Danio rerio: one gene and its partner. The protein of the gene in region 2 purifies or fractionates together with the protein of the main gene of each other region. This does not show direct contact. Links are inferred from orthologs where the notes say so. Each region holds a gene or a part of one and is shown on either strand. Other genes may lie near its edges.

Evidence for each region.
Region 1: the proteins of stx12l (region 2) and sybl1 purify together in Homo sapiens (affinity purification with mass spectrometry; 3 studies listed by BioGRID and IntAct, counting the BioPlex papers as one, with this or other methods). This does not show direct contact. The link is inferred for Danio rerio from reciprocal best matches to the Homo sapiens genes STX12 and VAMP7.

The regions. Positions count from the first base shown.
Region 1 is NC_133189.1:9,605,806-9,609,466, reverse strand, and holds part of sybl1 (vesicle-associated membrane protein 7), read left to right. Parts: intron 1-2,712; 5' UTR 2,713-2,737; coding exon 2,738-2,883; intron 2,884-3,169; coding exon 3,170-3,227; intron 3,228-3,300; coding exon 3,301-3,438; intron 3,439-3,661. UniProt on the Homo sapiens protein: Involved in the targeting and/or fusion of transport vesicles to their target membrane during transport of proteins from the early endosome to the lysosome. Required for heterotypic fusion of late endosomes with lysosomes and homotypic lysosomal fusion.
Region 2 is NC_133191.1:7,959,366-7,963,565, reverse strand, and holds the start of stx12l (syntaxin-12), read right to left. Parts: upstream 2,930-4,200; 5' UTR 2,918-2,929; coding exon 2,833-2,917; intron 2,485-2,832; coding exon 2,374-2,484; intron 1-2,373. UniProt on the Homo sapiens protein: SNARE promoting fusion of transport vesicles with target membranes. Together with SNARE STX6, promotes movement of vesicles from endosomes to the cell membrane, and may therefore function in the endocytic recycling pathway.

The DNA of each region.
Region 1 (3,661 bases), on a different chromosome or scaffold from region 2:
CTAATCAACACTCTCTTGGTGTTGATAATGTTAACACTTTCAAAAGTGTTATTTTTAACACTTATAGTGGTTCCTATATAAACTCTGAGGGAGTGTTAATTTTAACTCTAAGGTAGTTAAATCTACTATCTAAAATTTGCAGTGTACTTTGAATATTCAGTCTGAAATCACATGTGATTATGACTTGAAGACAACATTAGCACTTTATTTGACTGAACAATGTTGTACTTCAGTAGTGATTGGCATTTAGAATTTGCTTACTTTTCTGAAATGTTATTATTAAGGAGAAAGTCAGAATGTGTGAATATTAAACCAACTTTACCTTAATTATATAACGTTGCTGTATTAATGAACTAGTAACTTAAAATAGAATAAATTGTGTAAATGAATGATTAATCAATACAAAACACATTATTGAATAAAGTGAACTTGCATTTTTAGGTTTGAACTGAAAGCAGCTCCCAGCAAGCAGGACTAAGTTTTTTGTTTACATGAATAACACATTTTTTGCATAAGGTTGATTAAAAGTAGTAAAATACAGAAATAAAAACGTACAGAATTTCTATTATTTAGTTTGCTAAAAATGTATTATGTAAATGATTTATGTTCAGTTGTTTAGTCAGCATGCAGAAAAAGGAGACGGGATCAGAGTCAAGTGATTTGATCACAAGCTGGTTTGCTGTTTCCTAGAATCATGACTGAATTCTAGACTATGGTTCAGCAAACTGTTTCCTCAAATGTGTTTCCCCCATTTCCGTCCAATGATTGATGTGCATTTGGTGTGATTAGCTTTTTAATGCTTAGACACTGGCTACAACCTTTAAATGTTAATATAAATACTATTTTAAAAACTATAATATTGTTGTGCTGTTTTTTCTGTGAATGAAAAAATGCCTTTTTAAGTAATAACTGAAACAGAAGTTACGATAGTATTTCCTTCCTTATTGTGATATATAGCCAAAAGATAACGGCTTCTGAATTGAGAGAAAAAAAAAGATGTATGGCAGGACTTGATTTTGTTCATCATAATTGATTATAGGTTACAATGGCAGATGATAATAATAATAATAAAAATTATAATAAAAACAATAATGCTGGTAATGTGCCCAAATTAATAATTAATTACACATTTTAAGAATTGGGAATATTGTAAATAATTTAACGAGGGGCTCACAATGTCTGTACAATTTTCAGCTTTCTTCAAAATATCTATATGTTTTTAAAGAGTATTTATAAAAAAAAATTACAGTATCTGAAAAGAGTAGCATTTTTGAAAGTTTTGTTTTCTGTCATGTTTGATGTACCTGGTTACAAATTTAAAATGAAAAACCAAATGGCTTACCATTTTGCAACAACATTTACATATAGTTGAAAATAATTAGCTCTCCTGTGAAATTTTGATTCTGTATTTATTGTAAGTCTTAATCATTTTAATTTGGCTAGATTGTGTATAGTTTTTTAAATGTACAAACATTGTTAAAGATAGTTTAAATAGCTCTATATGTGATGGTTTTCTAGGGAAACTAACTGTATTCGGGTTCAGAAATTGAATAATTACAATGAAAAAAGGCTTTTCTTACTTTGCTTTGTCTCGTTTAGTTCAAATATTTAAAAAAATGTAAGAGCAAGTTGTTTTGTTTTCACCTTCAGAATATTACATTTTTACTTTAAACAAGCTAAGTTATCTGCCTGTGGGGTAAGCAAAATAATCTTGTTTTCACTTTGAAATGTAGATATTTGGACTAATCCATTTTTTAAAAATAAATTCTATATAAATACAGTAATTAAATACATTTCTGTAGGACTTGGTCAACTATAATTCAGACTCACCATTGCGTATCTTGCGATTTGACTATTGTGAATGTGCACATTGCCATACTGATGCTGAAACGATTTGTTGTGTACAATTATATTGCAAAACAGCTAATAAGGACTGCCTTTTTGTCAAAGACAAAAGCAAATAGTTATATTAAAAGTAGATATATTAGTTACACCATTATTTAAGTGAAGTTTCACAAACTAATTTCAAGAGGAGCATGTGATATTATTGATCATGGCTGACTCTCATCTGTAATCATTAGTAAACCAATCGGATTATTCCAAACTCACTATAAATATCCTGTCTAGCCTCACTCCCTTATCTTCGTTTTTTGAAGAATCCCCCTCATCCACCCCATCTCCCACTTTTCTCCTTAACCAGGTGGAGCTCTTAAGAGCTACCTGATCTTTTACACCCTTACATGATCATTGACCAGACGGGATCCCTGGGCTCAATTATCTCATTTATCTACCGGGACAGCATGCCAAACCTGCTAATAGCGTCAAGCAATATCGAAGTGTGAACTCTTGAAACCATCTTCTCTCCTATTAACATCACTTGGGAAATATTTAATAGAATTAAAATTTTACTGAATAACTTGGTCTTCAACTGTATATATCTTGTCATTGCAATACCTATACTGGTTGAATTTGATACAAGTTCCTGAACAATACTTTTTTTCATACCAATTTAATAAAATTTGATTTAATAACATTACCTAAAACATTTTTTCAAAGCCAAACTCTCAATAGCACGAAGAAACAAAATGTAACCAAACCAAATAAACTAACTGCAATCAAAATGTAACCAAACCAAAGCTGAATCAGTCCAAATAAGGTCAATGATGTATGTTTTAATTTACTTTGACATGAGGGTGTTTTTAAATCTTCCAGTGTTCGATAAGGTTTATCAGTGGTGATGGCTATCCTGTTTGCCGTGGTGGCTCGAGGATCAACCGTTCTAGCTAAGCATGCGTGTTTCTCTGGCAACTTTCTGGAAGTGACTGAACAGATCCTGGCCAAAATCCCATCTGAAAACAACAAGCTCACATATTCTCACGGCAGGTACAACTGACATTTTGCTAATGCAGTGTTTCCCAACTCTGTTCCTAAAGGCACACCAACAGTACACATTTCTAACCTCTTCCTAATCAAACACACCTCAATCAACTCATCAGAACGTTAGGAGAGAAAACCTGAAATGAATAGGTCAGATAAGGGGGACATCCAAAATATGTACTGTTATTGTGTCTCCAGGAACAGGGTTGGGAAACACTTCTAATGTGCTGTGAATACTTTACCAGCGATTCTTTGTGCTGATTTAAAGTGTTTCTATTGTGTTTTCTCTCAGCTATCTTTTCCACTACATCTGCCATGAGCGGATTGTCTATCTGTGCATCACTGATGATGTGAGTATCCGTCACATGATCTCAGCTTCTCTCCAGCTCCATTCACACACTTAACCGTTTGTCTCTCTTTCAGGAGTTTGAGCGGTCCCGTGCGTTTGGCTTCCTCAATGAGGTAAAAAAGAGATTTCAGACCACATATGGCTCTCGAGCACAGACCGCACTGCCCTACGCCATGAACAGTGAGTTTTCCAGCACACTGGCTGCACAAATGGTACGTGCGTCTGCCATCTTTGTATGTGTTTTGTACACTTTCAATAGGGGTGCACCTATATGGAATTATTGACCGATACAGATAATCGATGACTCTTTAGAATCGGAGGCCGATATACTTTTTAAGATATTTTTATCCTTGCCATGATGACAGTAAATAATATTTTACCAAATAGTTTTGAAGATACTATTAAGCTTAAAGTGACATTTAAAGGCTTGATTAG
Region 2 (4,200 bases):
TTCATTTATTTTCTTTTCCAATTAACACTTGGATGTGCCAAAACTTTCTTCAGTTGAACAAAGAGAAAACTGAAGTCATTGCGTTTGGGAACGGAGATGAGGTTCTCAAGGTGAATGCGTACCTTGGCACTAAAGGTCAAACGACAAAAAATAAGATCAAGAATCTTGGTGTGACTCTGGAGTCAGATCTGAGTTTCAATAGTCATGTCAAAGCAGTAAGTAAATCAGCATACTATCATCTCAAAAACATTGCAAGAATCAGAATGCTTTGTTTCCAGTGAAGTAACTTCTTCATGCTTTTATCAGCAGCAGGGTGGATTACTGTAATGGACTCCTCACTGGCCTTCCCAAAAAGACAGTGAGACAGTTGCAGCTCATCCAAAATGTTGCAGCCAGGATTCTGATCAGAACCAGAAAATCAGAGCACATCACACCTGTCCTCAGGTCTCTACACTAGCTCCCAGTTACATTCAGAATAGACTTTAAAGTATTGTTACTGGTCTATAAATCACTAAATGGCCTAGGACCTCAATACATTTCATATATGCTCACTGAATACAAACCTAACAGATCACTCAGATCTTTAGGATCATATAAACTAGAAGTTCCGAGAGCTCAGTCAAAGCAGGGTGAATCCGCCTTCAGCCACTATGCCCCCCGCTGCTGGAATCAGCTTCCAGAAATGATCAGATGTGCTCCAACATTAGGCACATTCAAATCAAGACTGAAAACACATCTGTTTAGCTGTGCCCTTACTGAATGAGCACTGTGCTGCGTCGACAGATCGCACTATTATGCTTTTCTTTTCTTTTTCATTATCTTATAACATATTTTAACACATTTTTATCTGTTTTATTTATTTTTATTCGTATTTTTATAATTCTTATTATTTGTTTTTATTTTCTTACTCTTGTTTCTTTTATTCCTGTTTATGTAAAACACTTATAATTGCCTCTGTGTATGAAATGTGCTATATAAATAAACTTGCCCTGCCTTGCTTTTCCACTTAGTCCCTTTAACAATACGGGGTCGCCACAGCGCAATGAACTGCCCATTAATACCTATTCAAACTAAATAGTTAAAGATTTAACAGATAATGCAATCTTTTCTTTAAGGAACTCTTCGCCAAGTGAAAAACATAATTCATAATTTACTCATCTTGAAGCCATCCTAGATGTACTGTACAACATGCCTTTCTATTTCAGACAAACACAGAGTTATTAAAAAAAAAAAACTTCCCATATTTTTTATAGGATTTGATGCTGCCCCAGTTTAAGATTTCCATAAAAATAATCCATATCACTACAGCGTGTTATTCAATGCTCTCTAAGGGGAAAAAAATCTGTATTGACATACAGTAAGAGCCAAGCTATCACATATGAAGTAGGACATAAACATGGATAATTTTAATATAAATAATAATACAAATGTACAGGATATCCAAAACTGCCAAAATTCTAATTTAAGATTTACACTATTTCATCGAGTAACATGTTTCTGGATCAATATCTGTGTTTCCAATCAGCCAATTAGATTTAAGGAATACGTTTACAGTTATGTTTAAGTTTAGGCTTACATTTAGGGTTATACAAATCTACATCAGTATATTAATCCCCTCTGATTTTGGGAATAATTTACAGTAAGGGTTAGGCTTATCATACATAGGCTACTTCCCTTGAGAATGTGCAAACTGGAAAAGCATTAAATGTGGATATTTTTCTGACAAAAACTAATTCCTTCACTACAGAAACCATCTTTACCCATGGAGTCGTCATGTGGATTATTTTTTTAAAATTGATGTGTATGTGTAGAAAAAAAAATCAAGCCAGAAAATTACTTTGTGTCATTGTTTTTGTGCTTGTCTAAAAGAAGAAAGGTGTCTTCAGGGTCAGTAAACTGTTTACACTGCAAAAAAATGCTTTTCTTACTTAGATCTTTTGTCATGTTTCTAGTCCAAATAGCTAAAAAATTCCTAATTTAAGAATAATTTTCTAGACAAGCAAAGCATATTGTCTTGTATTGAGAAATAATATTCCAATATTAAGTGAGTTTTTCCTTAATACAAGCAAAATAATCTGCCAATGGGGTAAACAAAATAATCTTACGTCAAAAGAAAAAACAAGATTAATTTGCTTACCCCATTGGCAGATTATTTTGCTTGTTTTAAGGAAAAACTCACCTAATATTGGCATATTATTTCTCAAGACAATATGGTTAGCTTGTCTAGAAAATGCTTCTTGACATAATAAATTTTAGATATTTAGACTAGAAACAAGACAAAAAATCTAAGCAAGAAAGGCATTTTTTGCAGTGTAATTGCACGCATTTCATTTAAACGATCACTTAAAGTGTGTCTGCAATATATCTACTTACTGTTTTGTGTGATTTTCTGGATGTTTGAGCTGCATGTCTGCGTGAGGTTGTTGAAATCTCTCGGCTGTGACTGTGAGTGGCTGCTGTCCATCATTCCGTAAGACATGATGACTGAAAAACAACAGCTGCATGATCAGATGCCATAAATCACATTCACTTTAGGTTAACTGTGTTCGCGCATTAAATATAAATAAACGACTTATTTTATGTACAGGTTACACATTTCTGAAAATAGCAGTAGATAAAACACGTAAATGAATAAACCTGAAACAAATACAGAAAATGTAGGCTACTGCGTACGCAACGCAACACATTTCACGTCGGTAATGGCTCAGCAGGCCTGTCGCTGCAATAAAACAAGGACTAATTATGTACGTCTGAAATTATGTAAATATGCTTGCACGAATGTCAACAAAGCGAACGGTTTCAATACGTAAAGAGTGAGAATGAATCGCATACCTGTAACTGTGATGCTCAGATGCGGCGGCGATGCGCTGCTCCTCTCACAGAAATCGAAATGAATAGAAAGGAAACACACGATCATAGCGGTAACACTAATAGGCGGAGCTTAGATTTCTGTTTTGACGGGTCTACTTTAACTTATTTCTTTTATTTGCTTTGTTAATGTCGCTTAATGTTAATGTTATTATTATTATTTCTATAATGTGCAAATTATTGACTAGATAATATGACTAGAATCACGCTGGACCATTACAGCTGTCATGTGTTACTTTTGGGTTTTGGCAGTGAAACAGCCTAGCCTACTATATTCAAGTGTATTATACATAGTATAGCTTGTTTATAACTTTGTTAATGAATGCCACAGTAGTAATACAGTGTGTATATACACTTTATTAGGTACACCTGTATTTTGTAGACACAGTTAAGACGATCTGCAGCAGTTCAAACCGAGCATCATTATAGGAAAAGAAAGGTGATTTAAGTGACTCTGTATATGGCACGTTTGTTGGTGCCAGACCGGCTGGTCTGAGTATTTCAGAAACTGCTGATCTACTGGGATTTTCACGCACAACAATCTGGGTTTACAGAGAATGGTGCGAAAAGAGATAATATCCATTGAGCGGCAGTTCTGTGGGCGCAAATGCCTTGTTGATGCCAGGGGTCAGAGGAGAATGGTTAGGCTGGTTCCAGCTGATAGAAAGGCAACAGTAACTCAAATAACCACTCGTTACAACCGAGGTCTGCAGAAGAGCATCTCTGAATGCACAACACGTCCAACCTTGTGGCAGATGGGCTACAGCAGCAGAAGACCACACCGTGTGCCACTCCTGACAGCTAAGAAAAGGAAACTGAGGCTACAATTCACAAAGGCTCACCAAAATTGGACAATAGAAGATTGAAAAAACATTTCATGGCCTGATGGCTCTCGATTTCTGCTGCGACATTCAGATAGTCAGAATTTGGCATCAACAAAATGAAAGCTTGGATCCATCCTGCCTTGTGTCAACGGTTGAGGCTGGTGGTGGTGGTGTAATGGTGTATTTTCTTAACACACTTTGGTCACATTAGTATTGTTATTAGTATTGTTGCTGACCATGTCCATCCCTTTATGACCACAGTGAACCCATCTTCTGATGGCTACTTCCAGCAGAATAACAAGCCATGTGATAAAGTGCGAATCATCTCAGACTGGTTTCTTAAACATGACAATGAGTTCACTGTACTCAAATGGCCTTCACAGTCACCTCAATCCAATAGGGCACTTTTGGGATGTGGTGGAACTGGAAATTTGTATCATGGATGTGCAGTCTACAAATCGTGAAATGCTTTCATGTCAATATGGACAGAAATTTTGGAGCAATTCAA